Linked DNA regions of Danio rerio. The protein of the gene in region 5 purifies or fractionates together with the protein of the main gene of each other region. This does not show direct contact. Links are inferred from orthologs where the notes say so. Each region holds a gene or a part of one and is shown on either strand. Other genes may lie near its edges.

The links.
Region 1: the proteins of uri1 (region 5) and polr2h purify together in Homo sapiens (affinity purification with mass spectrometry; 3 studies listed by BioGRID and IntAct, with this or other methods). This does not show direct contact. The link is inferred for Danio rerio from reciprocal best matches to the Homo sapiens genes URI1 and POLR2H.
Region 2: the proteins of uri1 (region 5) and ppp1cb purify together in Homo sapiens (affinity purification with mass spectrometry; 3 studies listed by BioGRID and IntAct, with this or other methods). This does not show direct contact. The link is inferred for Danio rerio from reciprocal best matches to the Homo sapiens genes URI1 and PPP1CB.
Region 3: the proteins of uri1 (region 5) and ppp1cc purify together in Homo sapiens (affinity purification with mass spectrometry; 9 studies listed by BioGRID and IntAct, counting the BioPlex papers as one, with this or other methods). This does not show direct contact. The link is inferred for Danio rerio from reciprocal best matches to the Homo sapiens genes URI1 and PPP1CC.
Region 4: the proteins of uri1 (region 5) and rprd1b purify together in Homo sapiens (affinity purification with mass spectrometry; 3 studies listed by BioGRID and IntAct, with this or other methods). This does not show direct contact. The link is inferred for Danio rerio from reciprocal best matches to the Homo sapiens genes URI1 and RPRD1B.
Region 6: the proteins of uri1 (region 5) and si:ch211-140b10.6 purify together in Homo sapiens (affinity purification with mass spectrometry; 4 studies listed by BioGRID and IntAct, with this or other methods). This does not show direct contact. The link is inferred for Danio rerio from reciprocal best matches to the Homo sapiens genes URI1 and POLR1D.
Region 7: the proteins of uri1 (region 5) and polr3k purify together in Homo sapiens (affinity purification with mass spectrometry; 3 studies listed by BioGRID and IntAct, with this or other methods). This does not show direct contact. The link is inferred for Danio rerio from reciprocal best matches to the Homo sapiens genes URI1 and POLR3K.

Annotation. Positions count from the first base shown.
Region 1 is NC_133197.1:38,621,830-38,625,804, reverse strand, and holds the start of polr2h (DNA-directed RNA polymerases I, II, and III subunit RPABC3), read left to right. Parts: upstream 1-1,175; 5' UTR 1,176-1,481; coding exon 1,482-1,554; intron 1,555-3,076; coding exon 3,077-3,160; intron 3,161-3,676; coding exon 3,677-3,770; intron 3,771-3,975. UniProt on the Homo sapiens protein: DNA-dependent RNA polymerase catalyzes the transcription of DNA into RNA using the four ribonucleoside triphosphates as substrates.
Region 2 is NC_133192.1:27,031,225-27,034,875, reverse strand, and holds the end of ppp1cb (serine/threonine-protein phosphatase PP1-beta catalytic subunit), read left to right. Parts: intron 1-1,340; coding exon 1,341-1,492; intron 1,493-1,595; coding exon 1,596-1,730; intron 1,731-1,827; coding exon 1,828-1,932; 3' UTR 1,933-3,151; downstream 3,152-3,651. UniProt on the Homo sapiens protein: Protein phosphatase that associates with over 200 regulatory proteins to form highly specific holoenzymes which dephosphorylate hundreds of biological targets.
Region 3 is NC_133180.1:2,464,584-2,468,587, forward strand, and holds the start of ppp1cc (serine/threonine-protein phosphatase PP1-gamma catalytic subunit A), read left to right. Parts: upstream 1-1,204; 5' UTR 1,205-1,386; coding exon 1,387-1,441; intron 1,442-4,004. UniProt on the Homo sapiens protein: Protein phosphatase that associates with over 200 regulatory proteins to form highly specific holoenzymes which dephosphorylate hundreds of biological targets.
Region 4 is NC_133198.1:46,851,370-46,854,869, forward strand, and holds part of rprd1b (regulation of nuclear pre-mRNA domain-containing protein 1B), read right to left. Parts: intron 3,121-3,500; coding exon 2,994-3,120; intron 2,426-2,993; coding exon of another isoform or gene 2,423-2,425; coding exon 2,247-2,422; intron 426-2,246; coding exon 276-425; 3' UTR 1-275. UniProt on the Homo sapiens protein: Interacts with phosphorylated C-terminal heptapeptide repeat domain (CTD) of the largest RNA polymerase II subunit POLR2A, and participates in dephosphorylation of the CTD by RPAP2. Transcriptional regulator which enhances expression of CCND1.
Region 5 is NC_133193.1:16,045,470-16,049,514, forward strand, and holds the start of uri1 (unconventional prefoldin RPB5 interactor 1), read left to right. Parts: upstream 1-1,245; 5' UTR 1,246-1,532; coding exon 1,533-1,613; exon of another isoform or gene 1,614-2,017; coding exon of another isoform or gene 2,018-2,044; intron 2,045-4,045. UniProt on the Homo sapiens protein: Involved in gene transcription regulation. Acts as a transcriptional repressor in concert with the corepressor UXT to regulate androgen receptor (AR) transcription.
Region 6 is NC_133199.1:25,556,434-25,560,487, forward strand, and holds the start of si:ch211-140b10.6 (protein POLR1D-like), read left to right. Parts: upstream 1-1,254; 5' UTR 1,255-1,341; coding exon 1,342-1,364; intron 1,365-1,657; coding exon 1,658-1,732; intron 1,733-4,020; coding exon 4,021-4,054.
Region 7 is NC_133178.1:45,547,072-45,551,091, forward strand, and holds the start of polr3k (DNA-directed RNA polymerase III subunit RPC10), read left to right. Parts: upstream 1-1,220; 5' UTR 1,221-1,345; coding exon 1,346-1,456; intron 1,457-3,217; coding exon 3,218-3,305; intron 3,306-4,020. Other genes in the region: snrnp25 (U11/U12 small nuclear ribonucleoprotein 25 kDa protein), read right to left, coding at 610-801. UniProt on the Homo sapiens protein: Core component of RNA polymerase III (Pol III) which synthesizes small non-coding RNAs using the four ribonucleoside triphosphates as substrates. Can mediate Pol I proofreading of the nascent RNA transcript.

The DNA.
Region 1 (3,975 bases), on a different chromosome or scaffold from region 5:
GAAATGAGTGTCGTAAAAAAATTGTAGTTTTAATGTGGTGTAGATTTGTAGTAATTTGTGCTTCGAATCTTTGAATTTCGTGGTTAATGGGAAATCGCTGCATTATTTTTTTAGTAACGTTTATTAAAGTAATATTAACATAGTAATAGTGACAAAGCACTTGTTTTAATATTGATATATGCTAATATTGATAAACAAATAACAATTAAACAAAACTAAGAATTTATGAAAAAAATGCTTTATTAAAACAATCATGTTTATTCATAATTTAAATTCTCATTTAAACTATTTATGGTTATGAATAACTAAACTAAAATAAATAAATTATATATATTTATAATATATTTTATATTTACTTACTAACTTTTATATTCATATTAACCTTTATTAAAGCAATTTTACATGACAAATATTACATGCATTTCTGTACATATTTATAACATACAAAGTTGTATTTTAATATGTATTGTTAAAAAATTATTAAATTATAAATATGTACACAAAACATTAATAAATACAAAGTCAGTTTTGACAAAGATAATAATAATAAAAATAATAATGATGATAATAATAATTTTATTAATGATAATAATAATAATAACATATTATGTATATGCATAATATGTTGTTATTATTATTATCATTATTGTATATATATATATATATATATATATATATATATAAAATATGCATTAATCTGGTATTTATGCAGGTATGTTCACTATTATGGAGGACGGATTAGAATGTGGACAGATTAATAATTAAATTAATAACATGGTTATGGGGCATTTATTTGCGTATTAATTAATTTATTATTTTATTTATGCAGAAATGTGTATATTAATTAATTAATTAATTTATTTATTAATTTGCGTATTTATGCATTTATTGTTTTATTTATACAGGAATTTGTGTACTTATTTATTAATAAGTTAGTTAATTTATTTGCTTATTTATTTTTTTATTTATGCACGAATTTGAGTATATTTTTATTTATTTATTTATTTGCGTATTTCTTTGTTTATTTATTTATTTACTTATTGTTTATGCAGGTTTAATCCTCCATATACTATTAAATAAACAAACAAATAAATAAACAAATAAACAGGCAAAAAAAAAATAAAAAGATCGAATACGCTACTGTCGTAAAAAGCGCGCCACGAACCGGAAGTAGTAGTGAATCAAGTGACCAGAGACGAAGCACATTGTTTCGCGGCATGTTTCATATTTGTGTTGAACGAAAAGAAAGTTGCTTCATTTTACAGTAGTTTTATTATTAATATTTCTGAGCTGGGACGAGTTTACGCACAGTGTATCTGCAGGAAGTGCACCAGAAAGCGCTTATTCAAAACAGCATTCAGCAGGAGAGTGTTTGAATGAAGCGTCTCCGTCGAGTTTTGTGTTGATTTCTACATAATTTAGTTTTCAGCGGGATTTTAATTCACCAAACTGAGCATTTAGTGTATCCTGCTGGAGTATAAATGGCTGGGATTCTGTTCGAGGATATCTTTGATGTGAAGGATATCGATCCTGATGGGAAGAAGTTTGACAGAGGTGATTCATTCATTCACTTATTTATTTACTGGATAAAACAAAAGTCTCTTCAATGTGTTTTATAACGTTAGTTATTGATAAAACTTACAAACAGCATGAAGATTTAGATTGAGGAAAAGTTGGTTTATATTCGCACATTCCTTCATTTAACGTTCTCCATGCTCACATGTAAATCACATGTAAACATACATGACTTCACTATTTAAAGTTTGCAAATTATACTTTTATTTAATGATATTATTAAGGAGAAAGTCTAAATGTGCGTATATAAAACTACCTCAATAAGGTTTATTTGTTGGTTCGATTATTTATCACACAATAATAATTAGACTTATTGTATACTTATTAATACTACTTTAATGATGGAAGTTGAAGAGCTTAAAACTTTTTAATTTTTAATTTAGCTCATTTTCTTGATCATATATATTTAATATTTATTTTAAATGGAAAAATATGAATATATTAAATTAAAAATGTATTTTTTTACATTGTCAATGTCAATTTAAATGCAAATAAAACAATTTTATTGTTATTACTATTATTAATAATATTAATTATTATTTGAGATTTTTTTAATATATATTCTCTTTAATATTCTTTTTGTTGATGCTGCCTAAATAATATGCAGTGATCAAAATTAAAAATAAAATCAAAACATACTGCGTAAAAGGCATATCTGAAGGCAGAGCCGTTTATTTAATTACTGTTTTTATATATAGAGGTAAAGTTGGTTTTATATTTGCACATTCGTTCATTTTGCAGTCTCTATATTGTTGACCATGTTACTTTGAGTTTTCGATCGGAATTAGCACGCAAGTATGACTTGTAAACAACATTAACACTGTTTATCTGAATGTGAACAATGTTGTACTTTGATAGTCATTTGCTGCTAACATGATTTCCCTATATTTAGTATTGGCAAATAATACTTTTTCTTAAAATATTATTAAGGAGAAAGTCTGAATATATCCGAATATAAAACCAACTTTACCTCTGAAGATTTTTTTTTATCATACAATAATAATCAAGCTTATTGCATATTTATAAATACTACTTTAATAATGGATGTTGAAGAGCTTAAAGTTTTAATTTAACTTGTACATTTACTTGATCATATATATTTAATATTTACTTTAAATGGAAAAAATATTAATATATTAAATAAAAATTAATAGTATATTTTTACATTGTCTAAATGTCAATTTAAATGCAAATAAAACAATATTATTATTACTATTAATAATAAGTGTTTTTAGTACTTAGAATTTTTAAATCTATATTCTTTAATATTCTTTTTGTTGATGCTACCTAAATAATATATAGTGATTAAAATAAAAATAAAATCAAAACAAACTGCGTAAAAGGCATATCAGAAGGCAGAGATGTTTATTTAATTACTTTATTTATTTATTTATTTATTTATTTTTTTTTTTTATAAATCAACCACTATTATTTTTCCCCCCTAAAAGTCTAGAATTCACTAAACACTCTTGATTTGTTGTTTTGTATTTGTGATGATCAGTGTCTCGTCTTCACTGTGAAAGTGAGTCTTTCAAGATGGACCTCATCCTGGACGTCAACATCCAGATTTACCCTGTTGATCTTGGTAAGTCACTGTTCTTGCTCTCTGTGTTGTTCTCTGGGCTGCATAGAGGTAAAGTTGGTTTTATATTCACACATTCAATCAATGATGTCATGTGCAAACAACCTATAATCCATTACCTTTTTACATTTTCATATTGTTACTTGTCTACTTATCTGTTAATTTGGTCATTGCATAAATAAATGATTAAAAAAAACAAACAAATAAAGTAATTTCTCCAGTGTTTTGTTCAGACGAACGAAATTGTATGATTATAAAAAAGGAGGCGTGGCACCTAACCCCACCCCTAAACCTAACCGTCATTTGGAGATGAGCAAATCGTACTAAAATGTATGAATTAGATCGTTCGAATTCGTACGAATTAGCCACTAAATGAAAAAGTTACGAATTGCCGTGAGATTGTGTTGGTTTTATCAGCACTCCAACAGTATTTACATGTTTTTCCGGTATCCTGCTGCCCTAGTGATGATAATGTTGTGTTGCTGTCATATGCTAATGAGGATGATGTCATTGTGTCAGGTGACAAGTTCAGACTGGTGATCGCCAGCACTCTTTATGAGGACGGGACGCCGGACGATGGAGAATACAATCCTCAAGACGACCGGCCGTCCAGGTCATACATTACTCCTAAACTAAATCTTAGATATTTCATGTCTACGATCAAATCAAATCAGGCCTTTATTTACACATACACTTTCGTATAGTGAAATAGAACCCCAAAAATGTAAATTAATTACTAATGACATCATTAAAGTTGTTTAAATGACTTTTCTAGTGTCATGACTGATGGGCAACTTTTTTTAATCAATGAGGAATTG
Region 2 (3,651 bases), on a different chromosome or scaffold from region 5:
TTTTTCGCCATTGAATATGGTCATTTAGATTTAATTACATTTTATATAAGTAAAATTTTTATCTTCATCTAGCTTTTTTTTTTTTTTTTTGCTTCATCTTAACCTTCATTCATTCATTTTCCTTTCGGCTTAGTCCCTTTAATAACCCGGGGTCGCCACAACGTAATGTTTTGTATATTCACTTAAATTTAACGTTGGTCATTGAAAACATGTTGTTACATTTAATAATGATTGACCACTTAAGGATGATTTATATGTGACGCGTTTGCTTGAGTGAGCATTTTTGAGACTGGCACCGCATTTCTTTTTAGTTGAATATGAATCACTTTAAAGAGATTTTATCTAAAACAGGTAAGACTGTACAGACATCAACCCGATGACCAACAATTTGGCTAGAAATTGCAACAGCCATGGGAAAAGGAAGAGAGTTTTTGTAATAAAGTTCAGAAAAACTTGAGGGATAAGTTTCTTAAAACCAAAAAGTGAGACCATGTCAAAAATGGAGACCCAGGTGGTTTTATACACAATTACAGAATATGCTTTTCCACCATTCATAGGTGTTACACTGATTTATATATTACAATTTTGAATTTAAAACAATTTAATAGTTAGAAAACTAAAATGAAGTAACATATTATTTGTTTTTATAACTGGAAAGAATATTTGAAACGGTTTACAATATACTGATGCCCTGTTTTTCAAGGCTTTATTTGTGATATTGGTCAGGATCGTTGGACCTTTTTAACATACAACTGTAGAGGACATAAACTAGCCAGACAGTAATGTGTGAATTGTTGATCAGGCTAAATCTAAATTTATTTTTTAGTAACTGTACTTTTTAAAATAAAAAAATATATTTGTAGAGCAACCCCTGTTCTGTTATAATTAATATTTTAATAAACTATAATACGTGGAATTGTCTAAGATATGAACAAAAGCAAGTGATGCATCAAAGTTTGATTGATTAATTGATTTATTTTTTATTAATTAATCTTGAATGCTTATAATAATTTATAAAAAATAATTAGTTTAAAAATCTTGAATGACATTATTGATATGACGTATTTCCGGAAACTATTTACTTGATTTTACGGTGGGTACCTCTTGACCAACCCCTTTCATTTAAAAAAATATTTAATCGGCAAACGCATCAAGTATAAAAGCCTCATCCATTTCGTGAGGTGCGTGCACAGTCAACAAAGGTCTACTACGTGGCGCCAGACAAAAGTATAAATCAGCCATTATATAAGCAATCAACTAAATGAACTTAAGATATTATAATAAAATATCACAGACACTTGTTCTCTAGTGATTTCATGCTGAGTCTCTTACTCTTGCAGGGTTGCTGTGTGATTTGCTGTGGTCAGACCCCGATAAGGACGTTCAGGGATGGGGAGAGAATGATCGTGGTGTTTCATTCACGTTTGGTGCTGATGTAGTCAGCAAATTCCTGAACCGCCACGACCTGGACTTAATCTGTAGGGCACATCAGGTAACAGTTCATTTCAACCCATCTCATCCATTATTGTGTTTCATGAGTTGGACGTGCAGATGTTGTGTTGTAGTTTGTGTAGTGATCGTGTGCTGTTTTGCAGGTGGTTGAGGATGGTTATGAATTCTTTGCGAAGCGGCAGTTGGTCACTCTGTTTTCAGCGCCAAACTACTGCGGGGAGTTTGACAATGCCGGTGGAATGATGAGTGTGGATGAGTCACTCATGTGCTCTTTTCAGGTGTGGCATTATTCACGTGCACGCACACACACACACACACACACAAGCATGCATTGTGCTTTCCAAATACACTCAAACACTCCCTGTTCTCTTTCAGATCCTGAAGCCATCAGAAAAGAAGGCAAAGTATCAGTACAGCGGGGTGAATTCAGGGCGACCTGTGACCCCGCCCCGTACTGCCCAAGCCCCCAAGAAGAGGTGAGCGGCTCGCCAGCCGGAACCACACTCTCCATCCCCCATCCCCACCTTCAGCAAAGTACCCCTGTATGGGGCAGCTTGTCCTTCCCAATTCCCCCTCTGAAGTCTGTCTACTCGCCCTGCCAAACCTCTTTCTCCTTTCTTAAAATTTGTGTACAGAAATTTTGCTGTGACCAGTGGAATTCTCTTTTCTTTTGCTCTGCTTGTTTGTTTATTGGTATTTTAATAACATAAATAATAATAATAAATACTGCTTTTGGTAAGCAGCTCCTGACTTGCTCTACAAAGATCCCAGAGCAAAACACACACTCGTTCTTTTACGCAAAGATCTCGGTAGTGTGCTGATATATAAGCATTTTGTTGAACTTTACTTCAGTACTCTTTGATTATTGAACATTAATGTCGATTCATGAAGAAAGAGTGATGATTGTAAGTATTAATGGTTGATGTGTATTTCGCTACACGATGAAGTTTCAAGACCAGAGGCTTTCACGAACACACACACACCTAACGCTGTCAGGGTCACAGGTCAGCAGACACTTCACACAGACGCAAATCTATTGTCGATAAAATAGGTCAGTGTGGACAAAGCTAGAAAAAGGGATTTTAAATTGGATACCGTGACATGCGCGCGCGCACACACACACATTTGCACAGCTGCATTTACAAACGGCATTGCATGTTCTGTTTTCTTAAAAACCTCTGGGACTTACAGCAAAACTCTATAGACCTCTGTTTAACGTGCTGTTTTTATGTCTGACGATAGTAATAATTCAGGAGAAAAGTGTCACGGCATAACACTTTGCATGACCCATGTACATGTCTGTAATAACCTGTCTGAAATGACGTAATCCACCAGCCATTTTCTCATTGGATAACTAAACCAAGTGGAAAATAACCTCCAAGTTGAAGAGTCACACTTGTTTGAAGTTCCCCAACATTATTTCGAAGGTTAAAAGTGATTTAATTTGATTTGTTTAACAACTAAAAGAGTAGCACATGTGACTAAACAACAATGCCTTTGTGTGAGGGTTGCTCTTCCTCATGTGGATATTCATCTGTCATAACACACTCTTTTTTTAATGTTTTTATTTGTGTGTGTTGCTGTTTACTTCTCCTTAATTTATTTCCAAACGTTGGGAAAAGCTATCAAAGTGTTCTAAAAGCAGTTCATGAGTTTTGTATAAGTGGGCTTCAAAATTAATAAATGGAAGAAAACTCTCTTTGCCGCCTCTGACTTTGTTTCCCTTAGCAACCGTATAAATACCAGGCTAATTAAAGTGGCGGAGACCATAGTTCTGGACGCTATTCAACCGACTTTTTCCTAGTGTTTCATTAAAATAAGCAGCACTGTAAGTCTCCAGTGCTGGAAAATGTGGACGAGGACAATCTGTGGCCTGTTGTCATGGCTACTGCGGCCCAGCAGGGTCAGGCTCCATTTCAATGCAGACAAAAGCAGACAATGTGCTGAGATTATTTTCAGTTGATTCAAGTACCATCTGAAATTTCACATCGGATTTGTTTAATGACCTGAATAAATGTATTTAATCGATCACAAAATAATCCTGCCACATTTAATGTTTCCATGAAGTAATCTGGGCTTTGGGTTTTAGAGGACTGACTTGTGCTCTTCAGGTAGGATGTTACTGGAACATTGCAGTTGACCATTCAGATATTTAAATTTATTTTAAGGAAGCAAACAGACTCTATCATGGTAGAGTTA
Region 3 (4,004 bases), on a different chromosome or scaffold from region 5:
GCACAACTATTACTATTGACACCAGGAACCCCTGTGACGTAGGTTGATAATTTCTCTAAATATAGGCTTAAGTTTTTTAATTTAAAACAACTTTGAACAGATTCCTTATTTTATGATGGATAATAATAAATTAGCATTTGAAAAAATAAGTATTTTTTCGAATTTCTTAGTTCAAAATGTTTAATTTAAATTCTAATCTCATTACATTATTTGTAAAAAGTAATAGTGTAAATTTTAAATGCACAGTTGTAAATAAACACAATTTTTTGTTAATAGTATGGTAAGCACTTTGACAAAAATATAGGAAAATATTTGTTGCGTCAAAAAGTATTGTAATGATAACCATCCGACAAGCTAATCCAAAAATTTGTGCTTAAAATGTCAATGTATTTGATAAAAATGAGCCGAATAGCTGCAAAAAGTTCCACTTTTTGAGAACCCTTTTAATAGGCTGGCTACGGGCCTGCATTGCAATGCTGTAGTATTTTTAATACCTAAATTAGCATGAATTAAATGCATACTGAGTAAATACCTTACCACAAATGACAAAATATGTAATGGTATTGACAGTTGACAAAGGATGAGGTTAGTTAACATGAAAAGTAATGTCAAATACTATAAAACTAGTTTTTTTTTAATGCCAAAATCAGCATTAATTAATTTCTAATGCAAAAATACTACAAATTAAATAATATTTTTTTTACTATAATGAATGACAATTGACAAAAAAATGTGGTTAGTTAATATAAAAGGTCATGTCAAATACTGTAAAACTAGATTTTATGCCAAAATTAATAATTTTTTATTAGGTTATTATAATAAATAACAGTTGACAAGGCATCTGGTTAATTAACATAAACAGAACTGTCAAATAATGTAATACTAGTACATGTGTATACCCGAATCAGCATAAATTAAATGCATAATGCAATTTTTTCAAATGAAATAATATTTGTATTAGGTCTACTGTAATAACAGCATGCCAAAAGACGTTGTTGGTTAAAATAAATAATTATGTTAATGTGTAGGATATGTTTTAAACATGTGTTTTTAAAAGTTTTTCATTGCAATTAACATTCAACGTCACACGTTATTGTGAAAGTCAGCGGCACGCCCTCCTCTTTCCTCCGCACTACTTTTCTTCCTTTCCTTTGTGTTCATCCGCCCTCCCGTTTCCATCAGCGGTGAAACCGAGCCGAATTGCGTGTCCTTCCGCAGAGCCGGTGCGCCACCGCCGCAGCACGCGCGTCTAACGGGCCCGCTCGAGCATTTTAATCTTTTCTTTTAGAGTTTTGTGATTAACCAGTTTGTTTTTAATCGAAGTCGTTTTATCTGTCGTGTCTGGTGTGTTTTAAGCGGTGGTGTTTGTGTTTTTATCGGCTAGTCATGGCTGACATCGACAAACTCAACATAGACAGCATCATTCAGCGCCTGCTCGAGGGTGAGTTTCAAGCCAAGTGACAGCTAAAATGTACTTTTAATAACATAAGTAACTATATAATTGCCATAAGGGTTGTGTGTGTATATGTATATGCTTGATCTATCAACTCTGTCGTTTTTATGGATGTTACGTTAGCTGAGCTAGCGAGAGTTAGCTGCGCATTAGCTCTGCTCACTGACACAAACGGCTGTGTGTCAAATACAGAGTTTTCTACATAGACACTATACTGATATATTTGAAGATTATATATTATTGGTTGGTTTCGAATGGACAGTACTTTTGACTATAAAATACACTCTGTGTGGGCAGTTCACTGGTGTTTGTGACACTGCCAAGCTGTACGCGCGGTTTCGGTGCTTCAGTAAACACATTACGTTAGTACACTGACTAATGCTGATATTATGATATTGAATACATATTTGAGCATCAAAACAGCTGTTTATTAGTGTACCACAGTCATTAAAATTAACAACAGGGCTTGAAATGTCAAAAGTGTGATTTCTAGCGCTAGGAAAAACAATATTTTTGAGTTCAACCCAAATTTATACAATTTGAGGGTGTCATCTCTATAAAATGTTTATTAAAAATCCTTGCTTTAATTAGACATCTTAAAACCTTATTTAATGACTAACAATATGAAACTGTTGAAAATGAGAACTTTAAAACATGATAAACTCTTAATTCTGATTGAATATGAACACTGTATTTGCTTATATTATGACTTTAAACATGTATTATTATTACATGTAAATATATTTTTTAGGGGGGGAAGGACATCACATCCTGTACAACTGCAGGTTATACAGTGTTCATACAGTCATGGAAAACCTGGAAAAGTCATGGAATTTTTACATGGCATTTTCCAGGCCTGGAAAAGTTTTGGAAAAACAGAAAAACCTACACAGTTTTAGAAAAGTCATGACAAATACTTGAATATAGGCTTTTCTCTTATTTTCTGTCCTTGGCCAATCACATACTCTCATATTATTAGTGCGGTGTAAGCATTATCTAAATTAATTTTGCATGGATATAAATTGAAAGTAAATGGATTGTTGCATGTTTTATGCTATGCTCTAATAAATTTGAACATGCATTGCTTTTCTTTTACCACGCATATGTAGACATTGCATGAAACATTAGGTCATGAACATTTACATGAAAGTCTTGGCAAAATCATGAAATTTTAGTAGTAAAAATGTGTATGAGCCCAACTATGTTTACAACATTTTAGCTTTTTTTTGAATTGACTGTAATGAAATGTGCACCTTTTGTAAAGCTGCTTTGAAATGAATTATTGTGAAAAGCACTATACAAATAGATTTATATTTTATTATACAATGAATTGTATCTTTGCAAAATATAATTGCTTTCTGGAATGCATTATAAAAGCAGCAGGTGCAATAAAGGCAGAATGATTATGCAAGATTTTATAGTTTTATTGTATACAGTGAAGAAATGCATTTACATAACATTTCTCGCTTGTTTAATTTTTATATGCAACACAGTTCATATTGGCAGATATTATTATTTAGACTAACATTAAATGTATTATTAAGGTATGTATCCTTCATAAGCGGGTCTGACTTCAGATTTAGCACTGCAGCAGCTTTGACCCATTTTTACTTGTACTTTCTGCAGTAGTGATTTCAGCATCATACACATACTGATATGCATGTGCTTTTACTTTGTCCTCTTACACTGTAAAAAATATATTAGTGAACAGTTTCTCTATTTTGTGTGTTTTGGGTTTATTTGCGGTGGCAAATTGCATTATGCTATGTTGATCTCTCCTCTGTTGTATTTTTAACATCAAAAGTGCACAAAGTGACTTATTCACATTTTAGTCATTTGAAATAATAATATCATGTATAAAAATAATATCTAAAGAAATAAGTCTGTTAAAGAATAGAAAATGTTTGTTACAATGTTTTTGTAGCGTAATATACAACACCAACCAGACAGTATATCACTTTAAGCTATTAAAAAAGTAAATAAGTCACTTTTTTTAACTTTACAAGGTTAAAAGTTGTTGGAGGAAAGTAATAATCCAATTCAAAAGCGTAAATAAATGGGGGAAAGTAAAAACATGAATCACAAAATACATAAAACTGCTTATTTAAAGATTTTTTATTGCTTAGGTTTATTTTTATGCAGTGTGAAATAATGGCTGCGCTAAAATTTTGACATTGTCATGGAGAGATGCTATAAATTATATTTGGGTAATAATAATGCATAATGTTTAATTATGATGCACCTTTCTAAGCTCAAAGCGCCACAACATTTACAAACATAAGGTTGCAACCAAAGCCTAAATTACAAACTTTCATAATCAAATCTCTGTATTAATTCACATCGCAATAATGAATAAAAAACAATTAAGCAAATTTATTTTTTAAAATGTCAGTGATATCACAAATGGGCAAATATGGCTCTAAATTTAAAATTATTTATTTTAAAATAAATATATTACCAGTATATTAGGAACACCCTACTCCTTGCATATTTTCTAAGATTCCTCTGTTAAATATTTTATTAGACTGTCCTGCTTTTAATGTTTGTAGAA
Region 4 (3,500 bases), on a different chromosome or scaffold from region 5:
TAAAACTGAATCCTCATCTTTAGTCTCCTCCCAAAACCAAAATGAAGCCAAATTATTATCCGAGCAGTAAAAACTAAAAACCTACAGGTATCAGACAAAGCAAAAGAGAGTCGCTTTCCACAGCAAAGTCACGGCAAAACAAAATCTCGGCGTCGGATTTAGTGATGAGTGGACCGGCGGGTTTTGGAAATCTCCATACGCTTGTTATTGTTATCATTAATCCGCTCTGCTCTGCTCTGCTCTGCCAGTGTCTGTGAGTCTCAGAAATGAAATGTTCAGTCGGTGGAAAACAGATCTCCAGCAGACGGCAGCGGAGCCAGGCCGCCCGTCACATTCGGGAGCAGAGAAAGATCTGGAAGACTCTGGATGTGTGATTTCAGCTCCTTCCTCACTTGTGTGACACGAGCCAGTTTCTGCTTGTATTCCTGCAAAAACACACCGGATAAATCAACACACAAGGGCTGCACCATATTGGAAACATCTGATATGGTGATATTTAATTTTTCTGTGATAAATATTGCGATATGAAGTGTCTTGAAGAATATCTAGTCAAATATTACGTGCTGTCATCATGGCAAAGATTAAAGAAATCAGGTATAAGAAAAGAGTCATTAAAACTGTCGTTTAGAAATGTGTTGAAGAAAATCTTCTCTCAGTTAAACAGAACTTGTAAGAACTGGTAAAAATTGAGTTTAAGTGAGATTTTCCTTAAAGGAGAAATAAAGCACTCAGTCAAGTTTACTTTATTTTGTATACTTTAATGAAAATATATTAAACAAACTCGATTAATGCAACCATTTAGAACAAAATGGAGTGTTTTACTATAAATTTTAGACCTAGGGCGCCGCCAGCTTGGAATGTTGCTGTGTCTGACGTCACGGGGTTGGTTCCGTTCCCTCGGCTAAACATATACAGTAAAAGTAAAGAAGATTGTAAAGCCTAATTTAACCCAAAAGGTGAAGTTGTGGATTTGCTGCTGCAAATACAAGCATCAGATGTGTGTCTAATGTAAAGTTATATATATTTATTCTATTTTTTTTTTTCTATTTTAAGTAAAGAACGGAACAACCCTGTGACGTCAGACACCTCGACATTCCAAGATGGCGGCTCCCTAGGTCTAAAATCTATAGTTAAAAAACGCTGTTTTCTGCTAAATGGTTACAGTAATAGAGTTTAACATAGTTTCATTAAAGTGTAAATCCCATGTACAAAATAATATAAACTTGACCGAGTGCTTCATTTCCCATTTAAAACAAGCTAAATAATCTACCAATAAGGTAAGCAATAATGTGATTAAGCCAAAACAAGATTTTACTTACATCACTGGCTGGTTATTTTGCTTGTTTTAAGGAAAAACTCTCTTCATTGTCATTTTATTTAGGAAGACACGACAATAATTTCTATTTGTCTAGAAAAATTTCTCGATTTAAGAATTATTTATTTGGCATGCTTTAAGTTTTTTTTTTAAATGTATTTATTAAAATTATTATTATATTTTTTTATTTCTCTGATTTTGAGGTTTTCTTCTCTCTTTGCTTTTGGTTAAGTAAAAAAAGTTTGTTAATGTTTGTACAATATGATTTATAATAATAATAATAATAATAATAATAATAATAATACCTTTTATTTAGGTGCCTGTCTAGACACTCAAGGCCACCAAACAAGACAACAAGGACAGTCAGTTCAAATAAAAACACAATATAAAAGTCAATAAAATGCAAAAAAAATAAAAATAAAAATTGTTTTACACATACAGTTGAAGTCAGAATTATTCACCCTCCTGTATTTTCTTCTTTCTCTATTATTTCCCAAATGATGTTAAACAGATTCAGGAAATTTTCACAGTATTTCCTCTAATATTTTTTCCTCTATAGAAAGTCCTATTTGTTTTATTTTTGGCAAGAATCAAAGCAGTTTTTAATTTTTTAAAAGTCAACATTATTCGCCCCCTAAAGCAATATTTGTTTTTGGATAGTCTACAGAACAAACCACTGTTATACAATGACTTGCCTAATTACCCTAACCGTACCCTAATTAACCTAGTTAAGCCTTTAAATGTCACTTTAAGCTGTATAGAAGTGTCTTGAATAAACATCTAGTCAAATATTATTTACTGTCATCATGACAAAGATGAAATAAATCAGTTAATAGAAATGAGTTATAAAACTATTATGTTTAGAAATGTGTTGGAAACGATCTCTCTGTTAAACATAAATTGAGGGGAAAAAAAGATGTGTATGTGGTACCTCCAGCTTCTTCTCTCTTTCGTTGAGCGCGTCTTTCTGGCTCTGTATGTATTCGGTCAGCATTCGGGCCAGTTGTCTGCGGTCCTCCAGCTCCGCGGCCAGACGTCCATTATATTCAGCCAGCAGCAGACAGGCCTCGTCCACCGTCTTTGACAGCTTATCTGCTGCCTGTTTATCTGCTGACACAAACAACAACCAAACGAAGAGATTCATGCAAACCACAATGAGCAAGATAATGATCGAGTCAACACATTTCTGCTTTATATTAGTATATCCTCAAACACGTTAGCATTCACACGATAAACGCAAAATAGCCCCAATGTACATTAAACATTGAGGGTTTTTGATAATTAGCTTCGATGCATTGAGTAACACAGCTATAAGTGAATGAAAACATCCAGCTGAGGGTTAAATCTAAAAGTGCAGCATGTTTAAAACTATTGATTCTTTAGCAAAATAGTTGACTCAGAGTTACATATTACATAACCATTACACACTGTGATAAAGCCTGGTTTGTTAGTTCGTTGGCTCATATTGCTTTATCAATACAACCAAACTGCTCCAGAGTTCGTATCAACCAAGGCGAGACCATCTCATTCAGGCGATCTCAGTCCGACTGACTTGGTGCGGATCAGAACACGATTACACTATTCACATATTTCCAAACGAACTGAGCTGACAGGACAAACGTGCCAAGATAAGAAACAAACGGCTAGGTGTGAAAGCACCCTTAAACTTGATCTTAACCTGTTATCTTCTCCAGCAGAGAGACGTCCTGCACCTCCTGCGGAAGAGATGCGATCTTCTGTCTGACGGCGGCGTCTCCTGAAGCAGCGTTTTCTAGATCCTGCAGAGCTTTCACCAGGTCCTCCGTCTGCCAGATCAACACAATCAAGACATTAAGACTCAATCCCAATTATATTGTATAACCCCTACTTCAAATATACCCCTAAGAAATAGGACAGCACTACTACATCATCAAATGCCGTCGCAAACTCTTTCTTTAAATGAGATCGATGATGCCGACTGCTGTAGATTTTCCAGTTGTGCTCTTTTTTTTTGGTCTTTATCTTCAGGAAATCACCAAAAGCAACAATATTATGTTATCATATCGATACAATGCGGCAATAAGCTCATAACTGTACACCGTGTATTTACACCGTGGCCATATTCATCAATTTAAACACATAAACAACATTAACATTATAGCAGACACTGTATAAAGCCCATTCTCAGCCACTACACTTTTCTGAC
Region 5 (4,045 bases):
GTTTTGTTAACTGGAACTTAAACTGTAGTTAAACTTTATTGTACTGCATTTGAGCTGTGTTTATACTTCATTTTTATAGCAATTGTACTTAATTCATATGCAATTATACTTCTATTTACTGCTGTTGTACTGCAGTTTTACTTCAGTTTACTGCTCTCGTTTACTGCAGTTATTTTTGTAAGGGCAAACAACAACAACAATCCAGGGGTTTTCAGTCATCTAGTCCAAGATAAGTGCCAAATCCTGCAATAAAGTCCTTGTTCTTATTGCTTTTAAGTTTGTTGATCCCTCAATAGACTCAAAATACATTTTCATTTCAATTTTACATTAAGAAAGAAAATCCTAACCCTAAACAAAATACACTTACAAAATTTGTTTTTGTGAATATGAAATTTGCCCAACAAAAAAATCAGGTTATGAAATAAGTATTACTTTCCTTTTGACTTTTACAGAAACCAAAAAAAAAAAAAAATTCTTATAAGTAAATGCAAAATGTGCCAGCACATAATCTTTTATAAAATCAAGAATATCACATCAAAATGTCACTGAATGAGGCCAATTCCAAAATAAATGAACAGAAGTTTTAGGAATCTCTAAGCAAAATGGACAGTTGATGTTAATATTATTCATAAGCCTTTTTAGATCCAAATGGTTTGGATAGCATCTATTAATCAGTTTAAATGTAACTTCTCTTATTTTATTTATTTATTTATTTTAAATGTGGGGTAATGAGCAAACTTTCTTACATGAAATTGTACCAAAGAGCTTAGAATGATCATGAATGGTCATTCTAAGCTCCTTGAATTGTACAGAAGCCTTTTGTTTTTGTCGAATCATAAATTGTACGACTTCCTGTTTCGTAACGTCACGTGACGTTGGCGTGAGGATTGTTTACATCCTCTCATCATCAACCCATGTTTTCATTTAAACATATAAAGTGAACAGAACAAAAGCGCTTAGACAGTACCTACATTTACTGTTATCAAAATATGTATATATACACGTGTCCCAACAAGCGACCACTTTCGTTTGCCAATTTTAAAGAGTGGCGTTAATACTAAAAGTTGTTTATTTAATTTCATTTCAGCATGTAATCATTTAAGTCCACGAATAACTCAATAAATTTATTGCAGCTAAGCATTTAAAGTCGAAAATTATAAATGAAAGTGAAATTAAATAGCAAAAGTGGGAGATCACGTGCTTGCGTCGTAGAAGGAGAGCGATATCCAGAGCACGTACTACATCCGTGATTAGATGAACATGGCGCAGGGGAAGCAGGCCGTCGGTGGACTGTAAACAAGAGGAAATTTCGGGATTAGATTGACATCGTACCATGCACGTGTGAAATGGTCTCAATCTCGATATACTGGACGACTCGTTCTGCTTCATTGATGACTACGAGGCGACAAATTGAGTGCAACGCATCACATTGCATTCATAAACATTTCTATAGGACTTCAAACCCCTGAGCATTCATTGTTTTGGATATTTAATCACACAAAAACCTTGCTTGATTGTGGATGCACGAGCAAATGGCTGCAGTTGGGAAAGTCAAACGGAGTACGAGAGATTTGCCTCGAGGCGTGGAGAGGTTGAAAGATGAGCACAGGAAGGTCAGGAGTAATGTTTATTTCCATAACAACAATGCATTCCTGCAGATATTATTGTTGATGTTCATAAACGTGATTTGTCATCAGCGTTTGAAAGATTTGTCGTCGATTTTAATGTCGTTTATTTTGTATATTTGCAGCGTTGCCCGTTTCATTCTCTGGAAAGTTCTCTCTGTATCACGTGTTGCCGTTGGTTTTCTTTTTGCAGTTACTGCATTTTTGTTTGCATGTGTTTTTAATACTTTGCTGTAAAATCCACGTGTATGTGTTTACATGAAGCTTATCTTGATGTTAGTAGAAAACTTTACATGTGACGTTAACTCCAATTTAATCAACCACATGGCACATGCCCACGTTGCCTTAATGTATAGAGCAAGTAAAAGCTTAAAGTACTTTTAGAGTAGGCAATGAAATGGAAACGACTCCCTGTGAAGGTAAGGTTTAATTGACCCATTTCTATGTGCATGGAGTGAAAAGAATAGGTGAATGTCATACACACAATGTCTTTGACCCCATTTGTTCACAGTTGAAGATAAACACCCAGTTGGCTGGATTTGAAAATTACGTTTGACCTGCTTTCTTTACAGCAAAGATGTGTTTTAAAAAAAAACTGTTTTAGAATCCCTGAGCAACAAAATAATAATTATAGCTTTGTCTATTACATTTATTATTATGGCCACATTTAGCTTAAGACACCCATAAAAAATATTTTACCATAACAGAAGTTTATACCAAGTAGAATATACTGTATATTGGCAGGTATATTTAGAACATGTATCATTTGATGACATTAAAATACTCCTAGTCCTAAGCATTACAGTGCAACCCCAAAACACAAAGTATTTGTAACTTTTAATCCATATTCTCTGCCAGTATCATTCTATCATTCATTTACTACTTTGTCATAAATTTAGTTTCTTTATATTACAAAAGTTTGTTTTATAATTGTGTGTGTCTAATATATATATATATATATATATATATATATATATATATATATATATATATATATATATATATATATAATCTCGTCACCTTAGAATTATAAAGTTCTATTTGACATTACCTAGTATTCGGAATGCTTTTATGGCCATTTAAAATGTCAAAAGTTACCTAAAAGCGAACCGTACCTCTTTTTTGGTACCCTTTGGCCTTAGTGTCCCACCAGTGACGATATACAGCCATATCACACTGCCACGAGTTCAACAGTTCAGTGGCATAAGACTACCGGAGTCTCTCAAAAACACTTTTGTATGAGGAACTACCTTCTTCTGGCAATTATTCACATCTGCACCTGACATCAGAACAGCAGAAACCTGTGCTAATTCACTAACGTCACTTTAGAGCTAGTATTTAAAGGATTCTCTAGCGTAATGTCTAAAGTGATGACAAAACAGGTCATTTTGCTCACATTTTAAGATTATAAGGATGAACGGCATGAAATGCCATCAATGTTTAGAGATTTCCCAGTATTTCTCTGTTGCGATTGGGGGATCACAATAATTAACCCCGAAAAAACCAAAGCAACGCAAATGCAACCAGATTACTATGGTATAAATACAGCACTACAACATACAAAAGAGAAACATCAACTTAGTGACACTTATTTATAATGATTTGATCAGCTGTAATTTGATTTTTTTTATTTTTATTTTTGCTGAATTTTTCCTCCCCTAAGCACTTATCGAGGTTTTTGTCGCCATTCTGTAGCAAAACGTCAACCGTCTATGCTTTGCTCAGTGACAGGCTAACGGTCTCTCAGAAATTATAAATATTCTAAAATTGCCACTATCCTTATAAATAAACTGCAAAGTTGCAATCTAAACAACTACATTCTCACCTCAAAAGTACATTATGTTGTCCAAAACCCTTATATTTGTCAATCTGTAGTAAGTTTTTTCATCTGCTGTCACTCTATGTGGGCGGAATAATACAGAAGAGTATGAAGGCTGTACAAGTGCTGATATAGCAGAATATCGTACAGCCAAACAAAACGTGTGTGTTTGTGTGTTTATTTAAATTTTTTTGACATCATCTTGTCATTTACCTGTAGAATCTGTAAAGATCTTGCATATTCCACACCAGTATTTACATTGGAAGTTATAATTAACCTACTATCATCACATTATTTTAGTAGTTTAGCACATAATTAACCTTGAAACTGTCATTGTTTTGCCAGTCACTCTGAAATAACCTCATTCCTTTTATGGAAATTGAAAAAAAAACATTCAATAGCAAAAAAAAAAAAAAATGTAACATTTACTCTGATTTTATTGAGAAATGACATGAATGGGAATAATATGTAAAGGCTTGTCCCACTTTTCACAAGGAACTTTCAGGACTGTCATTCTCTGTGATGGCCAATTCACGCTACTAAAACATTACTGATAATTTAGCAGTGGTTGTTAATTGTTGTCTGTGGTATTTTTAATATT
Region 6 (4,054 bases), on a different chromosome or scaffold from region 5:
ATCTAAAGAAAAAAAACATTAATTAAATAGTAATTATTGCTCACAAGTGACTTAGAATTAAGATATTTGATCAAGTTTTTTTTAATTATAAGCATTAAAACATAACACTATGTATTAATAAAAATTCAGACACAAACTATATCCAAGACCATTACAATAAGTGCAAAAAGCCACATCCAGAAATAATATTAAAACAAAAACATAACAAGTAAAAATATTAAATTAAATATAACTAGTAATAAAAAAAAAAGATTGGCACACAATCAGACTACAGTGAGGGATCAGTACCAGAAAAAAAAACTTCATGAAATCTAACATCAAGTCATTTTTTTGTTATTAATTTGCATTAGAAACTTTTTCAAAGTTTCCATTTCTAATAAAAATTAATAGCATTTTGGTATACACTTCGCAAACTTCTGTTTATGAATAAAATATTAACCTTGTAGCATGTAAAAATTAACAACATACCAACATACTCTAATGAGTGTGTGTGTGTGTGTGTGTGTGTGTGTGTGCGTGCGTGCGTGCGTGCGTGCGTGTGTGTGTGTGTAAAGAGCAAATACAATCTTTTAACATGTATTTGCCCAAATAACACGTCACTAACATCATACTAAAATGTAAGAGACATCACAGTTATAGAAAAGATGTGATAAGTGTGCAAGTATTGTCAACATTCATGTATTTAGATAAGATAAAAAGAGATTAATTGATTTATTTATTATTTTATTTATTATTTTTTTATTATTATTAAACAGCAGCAAATATACAATTTAAACATGACATCCAAAACTACAAATGTAACCTATAACATAAAATAAACTAAAATATAAATTACATAAGTTAAATAAATAAAAAGACTGTAAAGATATTATGTCATGTAATGCGCTTTGGGATCATGTAATGACGTAAAGAACCGTCGGAACATGTTGAACTGTTCCATTCAGAGCTGCTGTTCAAATGAACCATTTGATGAAATGACTCTGATTTTTTCACTACCGTTCGTTTGACAGGCTGCAGACGGCGCTGTTAGTCGAATATCAGTTGTGACCATCGAGATGCCTGATTAAAGTGCGATCGTAAAACCTATTATTAAGTCAAATAATAAACTAAAATAGACTGTTTAAATGTACGTACTTTTTGTTCCAAGTGCAGATAGTTTCTACATTTTTAGTTTGAATTTTACTGTCTGCTCACTTCCGCAAATTTAGTCAAAACTAAGATGGTCAAGCGGACCGGGGTCCTAAATTGGGTCCTCGAGAATAGTAAACACTAACGTTACTGGTTAGCAAGCTGGAACAAGCTATAAATTAACAGTGACTGCGGTTTAAGGTTAATTAGATCATGGAAGACAGTGAACTGGAAAGGTATGATATTTCTAAATGTCAATTTTCCCCCTTTTGACCAGTTTATTGGACTAGTTTACGATGCAGAATATGCTAACGCCCTCGGCTTCGTGCAAATTGGTCAGTAAATTTGTGTAAACCAAAACCTGAGACGAAGCACCATACTTTTGTTATATAGCAAACATTTCGGTATCCTAGAAAAGTCTATTTTGCACCGTCAGAGATTTAAACGTGCTATTTAATTTGGGGTCACGGTAATACATAAATTAACCCGTTTCTGTCGTCAAATGTCTCACTGTAAATAATTTCCCCAGAAAAGCAGTGGAGGAGCTCCTTAAAGAAGCGAACAGAGCAAAAGCCCGTGTCGAGACAATGGGTCCTGCTGGATGGTAAGTTTGGATCACTAAATTGATAAATTACAGATATTTAAAGTGACCAATTTGAAGTCTTTTTCTATTATTAGTAACCACTATTGCCCCCACTCTTTTACACACACGCGCACACACACAAGGGTGTAACTTTGGTTTTCGGATGTGAACTTAAACCTGTGTATGTATATATACAGTACTGAGTACACCCCTTAAAGATCTGTATTTTAAATTAATATGTAGTATAAAATGCTTTACAGTAATGCATTTTGCACAAACTCTTTAGATTTTAAGGTACAAAAGCCAAAACTGTGACTAATCAAATATGCTTTTCACAATAATCAATATATCGACTTATCGCACAACACATTGACATGACATCTATCATTTTTGGTGATGTAATATATATTGCCCATATATAAAAGTCAATTCTAGCAACATTTTAGCTGATGGTGCAACCTCTTTATGTTACTGTAGTATATTTTCATGCAGGTGTCTGACAACTGAAAATAGATCTGGTAGCAGATCTTGCAGCCTCTGTTACTTTTTACATTGCACTTTTTACTACTATTTATTCAGGATATGTGTTTTCACATGCTGATTCCCCTGCCTCATTATTAAAGTTAAAATGACTATAAATTAAATGAAACATCCTTAAGAATAAAATATTATGTGGTCTTTAGAAGAGTGTACTTGCATTTTGATGTTATTATATTGTCATTTTGGCATTATATAATAAGTGGCATAAAATGGTCTCAAAATGACAATATTGTTCATCATAATATATGTTGGTGCAATATATCATACAAGAAAAAATAGATATTATGACAAGCTTATAATTAAAAAAAACTATTTAAGATCACAGTGCAAAAATCAGTACACCTTAATTAATATACTGGGGGAAAATATTAAATAATATATTAATAAACGGGAAAAATACTTTTTTTTTTTTTTTTTTGCAAAAACTTGTTTGATTGTAAGTGTATTATTTTCTATCCTCGAAGGTGTTAAATGACTGAACCATATAACTGTTCTGTTTAAATAAACCAAAGATGATTGGCTGTATTCATTGGAAAATGGCTAGAAGAAATATTTATTTTTAATTGGGTGTAATCGTTTTTACTGGTGTTTTTACGGGAGAATCTTGTGGGAGTGCGGTAACAAAAGTGTCAAATGACTAATAATTGTAGAACATTTGAGCTGGCTTCAGTCCTTAGTTCTTTCATTTTCCTTTTCATTTTATTAAAATATATGTATTTAACTTGTTTGTTAATTAAATACAGTTCTGTCATTTAACCTATTATTTTTATGCAACAGTCAAGTTGCATGCTAATTTGCTCTGTGAAGGTTACGCGATTTATGTTTAAAATGTTGGTTATCGTCCTCCAAATCAAAAGATGTATGTACAGTATGTATGTATGTATAGACATTTACATTAGATGTTGCCTACGCTTTTTTCATCTATTGAAAGGAATTTGTCGATAGAGTCGCCATTTTAGTACAGGGTAGCGCTTCTTTAAAATGAATGTGGGTTCAAGGTGCAGCGGAGGACTGGCCATCCATATATACACATATACACATTTATTTACGATCGGGGGGTTTTCCATTGGTCAGTATGCAAATATTTTATGAAATTACAAAAATTATAAGTTTACATCACTTTTCTATATTGATGGATAAATGATTGCATGGGCATTCCTGGCAAAGAGTGTGTGATTGTGTGCATGGAAATGTATTATCTACCCTCCCTGTTTAATTTGATCTAATTCATGTCCTTAAACACACCCCCTCTCCTGCTTTCACTTTTCATTCCAACGGAGGGAGGGATTCGTTTGTGAATGAATCTCTGTTAAGAAGGACTTGATCACTTAGTTGACAATAATACAAGTTTTCACAGCAGCACCTTCTTGTTATATTTCATTTACATTGTTATCTCATTTTATTCAACAAAACTAGCATAAGTCTAGAATTGAGTGCCAGTTTGTAACATACAAAAACATAAAAAACGAAATCTTACCTATGAAATGTTCTGCCTTTGTGCTTGGTTTTCTTTGTTTGCTTGTTACTACACCCGTAAGCAGTGCTAAAGTCCAGCATCTTCACATTGGCTTTAGTCTTGATTAGTGCAGTTGAATGATGTCCTGGGAGCACTGTACAAATGTGGCGGCGCAATTGACGCATGCTCAGGAACCATATGCGATAGTGTATATATCTATGGAATGTATGTATGTATGTATGTATGTATGTATGTGTGTAATTAACTACTATATATGTCTCCTAAAGCTGCTTAAATTGCCGTTTTGTTTTAGGATGAAATGTCCACTGGGAAGCACAAACAAGCGC
Region 7 (4,020 bases), on a different chromosome or scaffold from region 5:
AATTAATCATCATCAAAACAGATCATATGCCTACAGTGGCTCAATCAGAATATTATCAAGCTACGAGAATACATCTGTGTGCACATAAAACAAAAATAACTACTTTACTCAACAGTTTCTTCTCCTCAGTGTATTGCATGTGTTCACGAGTGGTGTGCACTTATGTACTGACTATGACTTCCTTAGTTTGAAACAATTCACAGACACATTTGAGGTAATAAGCAAGTCAGAGGTGCAACCAAACGCGGCACATAAATGTGAGCATTATACTGACACAGAGGAGAAGAAACTGTTGAAAAAAAATCTGTAGAATATAGAAGATTTTAAGCTGGAACTATTACCCTCTAGTATTTACAACTACATTATCAGCTATTCACAACCTGGACAAACAGCTCTGAGGAAGATTTTAAATATATTAAACTCAAAGTGATGGCGCTTCTTGACCACCATTATATAGATAACGTACATAGGAAAACATAGTTCTCAACTTAAAAAAAAAACGTATTTTCTGTTCTACTTAAGAACAGAATCTTGGGATGTCAATTAACCGAACATTTTAATATCTGGGTGAATTGTCCGTTTAAAACAGCCCCTTGACTGCATGTACACCTGAATGGGCAGGTCACACAGAAGCGGGTCCTGCACTATGAGAGCCAGCCCTTCTTCAAAGATGTCCAGAATTTCTGAGTGTGGAAGAGCCTCCTCGTCTTCTTCCTCTTCGTGCTCCTCTTTTATTTCATCTTCCACAGTTTTCTCCTCTAACTCTTTTTTGAGCTCGGTTTCGTCCTTTATTTCGTCCATTTTATCTTCAAACGTCTTGTTTTGAGGGTATAGAAATCCAAGACTTATAAAAAAGTCACTAAGCGTTAATAGTTAACATAACTACAATTTCGTAAAAAAACTGTACGCCTTTTGCAGAAGCTTATTGTATTAAAAATTGTAACTTTAACAATTTGAGCCGTTCCAGCATTTCTTTTTACATTTCATTTTTATAAACACGCTGTCGGAATATTTCAGTGATGCACCCGACTTTAGTTCCGCATAGGTTTTTTATGATTCACATTCTTTATTACAATAACAATCTTCTATTAAAATATTTTTTAATCAGCATTAATATATTCGTTGACATTTTCATATATATTTAAGTTTAATATATACAACAGAAACAGTGTTCATCCTTGTCTATATTTCGTTTTATGGCGAGCCAATAATACAGAGGCACATTGATTGTCATGTGCTTCCTGTAGCGACTTAGAAAGGACTGTGTGTAAATACCAACTTCAGTTGCATCAGAAAGAAACTATAACTGTATTTACTACGTAACATAATCTATGACTGTTTGAAAATGCTCCTGTTTTGTCCGACATGTGGGAATGTGTTAATCGTGGAAGAAGGACAGCGATGCTTTAGATTCGCGTGTAACACATGTCCATATGTGCACAACATCACGAGGAAGGTAATGCATAACACCGGTTATGGAAATTTGTATCTAATAAGCGTTTGGAACGTTTGATTCGAACGCATTAAAGTTCGACGGAACGCCGACATTTAAAAGTTCGATTCGAATGAAACGAAAGAAATGACTTGATTCGATAATATGAGAACGTGTGAGGAACATCTGATGAGATCAATGTTTCTAACATTACAAATTATATAACAAAAATAGATTTGAGTGAGGGAGTGTTTATGTTCTATCAAACATTGCTTTCAGAGCATGATAAATAACGCTGGGTTACTGAGTAGTTACTTAAATGAAATGGTTAAATGATTATAAGATTGTATTGTACTTTAAAATGCTCTTTATTTCATCACGTTATTATATTTATGTATAAAATTTACAGTTTTAGAATAAATTCTCATTAAAAGATATTTTGAATAATGCTGGCACCCATTTTCTACCATAGTAGGAAATAAGAGTTGATTGAAGTCAATGGATCCCAGCAACATTCTTCAAAATATCTTCTTTTGTTTAACAGAAGATATAAACTTACTCAATGTACTTAATAAACCAAGAACTTCGTTTATATTATCTTGAAAACGTAGGAATTAAAAATATTTTAGAAATTTTTTAGAAATATTGTTATAGCTTCAGGTGGATAAACATCTGGATACTTAAAAGTTTATATTTGATGTCACTTCATAGATACTTATGTATGTGTGTCTTATCATCAAATGTTCATTCATAAATTGCACATACTTCTGAATTAAATCAGCCACAGTGCCACACGCAGGTTAACATTTTACCACCACTCTTTACTTCTCTTGTGTCTATGAACTCCGTAACATTACAAAACTTCCCATCATGCCACCTGTTTCCCGTCTTAAAGACACAGATGCAATTATAGCACATGACAATACTAACTTCAGAATCATAACACAAAACCTGGATAAATAAATCACCTCTATAAACTACTGACATTGTTTTTAAAAGATAGCTCTTAAAAACTCATTTTTGCATCCCCCAAAATGCTGTTGTGCAAACAAATGGCCAAAACACATACAAGTTTTCAATGCTTAGTTGGTCTGTAAATGTAATTGGCTGTTAAGTGAAAAAGTCAATTTCAAACTCTGATTAGAATTCAAAATGACGCTGTTTTAGACACTGGTAACAACTGTATTTATACAGTGACATATTAAAGAAGAGCCACTTGTCATAGTATTTTTGCTATTTATGTCATTGATAGTTTTTTTCAACATTCCGCATATATATTCTTTAAAGTCTGTGTGAAATCCAAATTTACAGTGTTTATTTTACAAGCACACAATGCTATTCTTTAGGTAAATGATAAATCCATGCAAGCTAATTCACCGAAAAAAAAAATCTTTGTTCTGATAATCTTCAAAGTCTGACCATTTGCTCTGGCGTTTGGAGTGGCAGTCCTTCTCTGATGATGTCAGTTTGGCAGATGCATCCACAATATTCCTAACCACGCCCCTCTTACCTTTAGTTGATGAGGGAATGATGTGCAAAAAGAAAGCCCCGCCCCCTACTCAATATGCAGTTTCAGTTTGAGGTCCTTCAACATACTAAAATAAGTCTCAGCAACTTGCAGTAAAATTAAAAACACTTATAAATCACCTTGAACCATCCTTGTTTTTATTAGTATCTAACAATTGAAGCTTGTTTCTATGAGGGTTAGGTTTATGGTCAGGCATAGACAGTATCATTGACCTGATAAAAAAATAGGAAAACAAACCTGTTTATGTGCTTTAACAGGTAAACAACAGAAAGTACCCCAAACTGAAGGAGGTTGATGATGTTCTTGGAGGATCTGCTGCTTGGGAAAATGTGGATTCCACTGCAGGTAAACAAATGAAACTTGAAAAGTAAAGTTTGCTCACAAACTTATGGTGGATTGACTGAGACTAGTCTGAAAGTTTGAAGTAGTTTTAAAGTTTAATTAATTGAAATAGTTTTTAAGAATTTTGAAACAGTCGGCATAGATTGATAACTACATATAGGTCAGCATGTATCTAGTATGGATTGGTATGTTTTAGTATAGATTGGTATATGGTTAGTATGTTTCTAGTGTGGATTAGATTATTATAGTATGTTTCTAGTCTGGATTGGTATATTATTAGTATGTTTGTTAGTATGTTTCTAGTATGGATTTGTGTGTCCTTAGTATGTTTCTAGTGTGGTTTATGTCTCTAGTATAGATTGGTATATTGTTAGTATGTTTTAGTGTGGGTTAGTATATTTTTAGTATGTTTTAGTATGGATTGGTGTGTCCGTTAGTATGTTTCTAGTATAGATTGGTATATTGTTTGTATGTTTCTAGTATGGATTAGTATATTTTTATTATGTTTTATGGTATGAATTGGTGTGGCCTTGGTTTGTTTTTTAATGTGGTTTATTATGTTTCTAGTATGGATTGGTATATTTGGAGTATGTTATGTTTTTCTTCCATGGATTGGTATATTATTACTATGTTTCAAATGTGGATTAATATATTTTTAGTATGTTTGTTAGTATGTATCTAGTATGGATTGGTGTGTCCTTTAGTGTGTTTCTAGTGT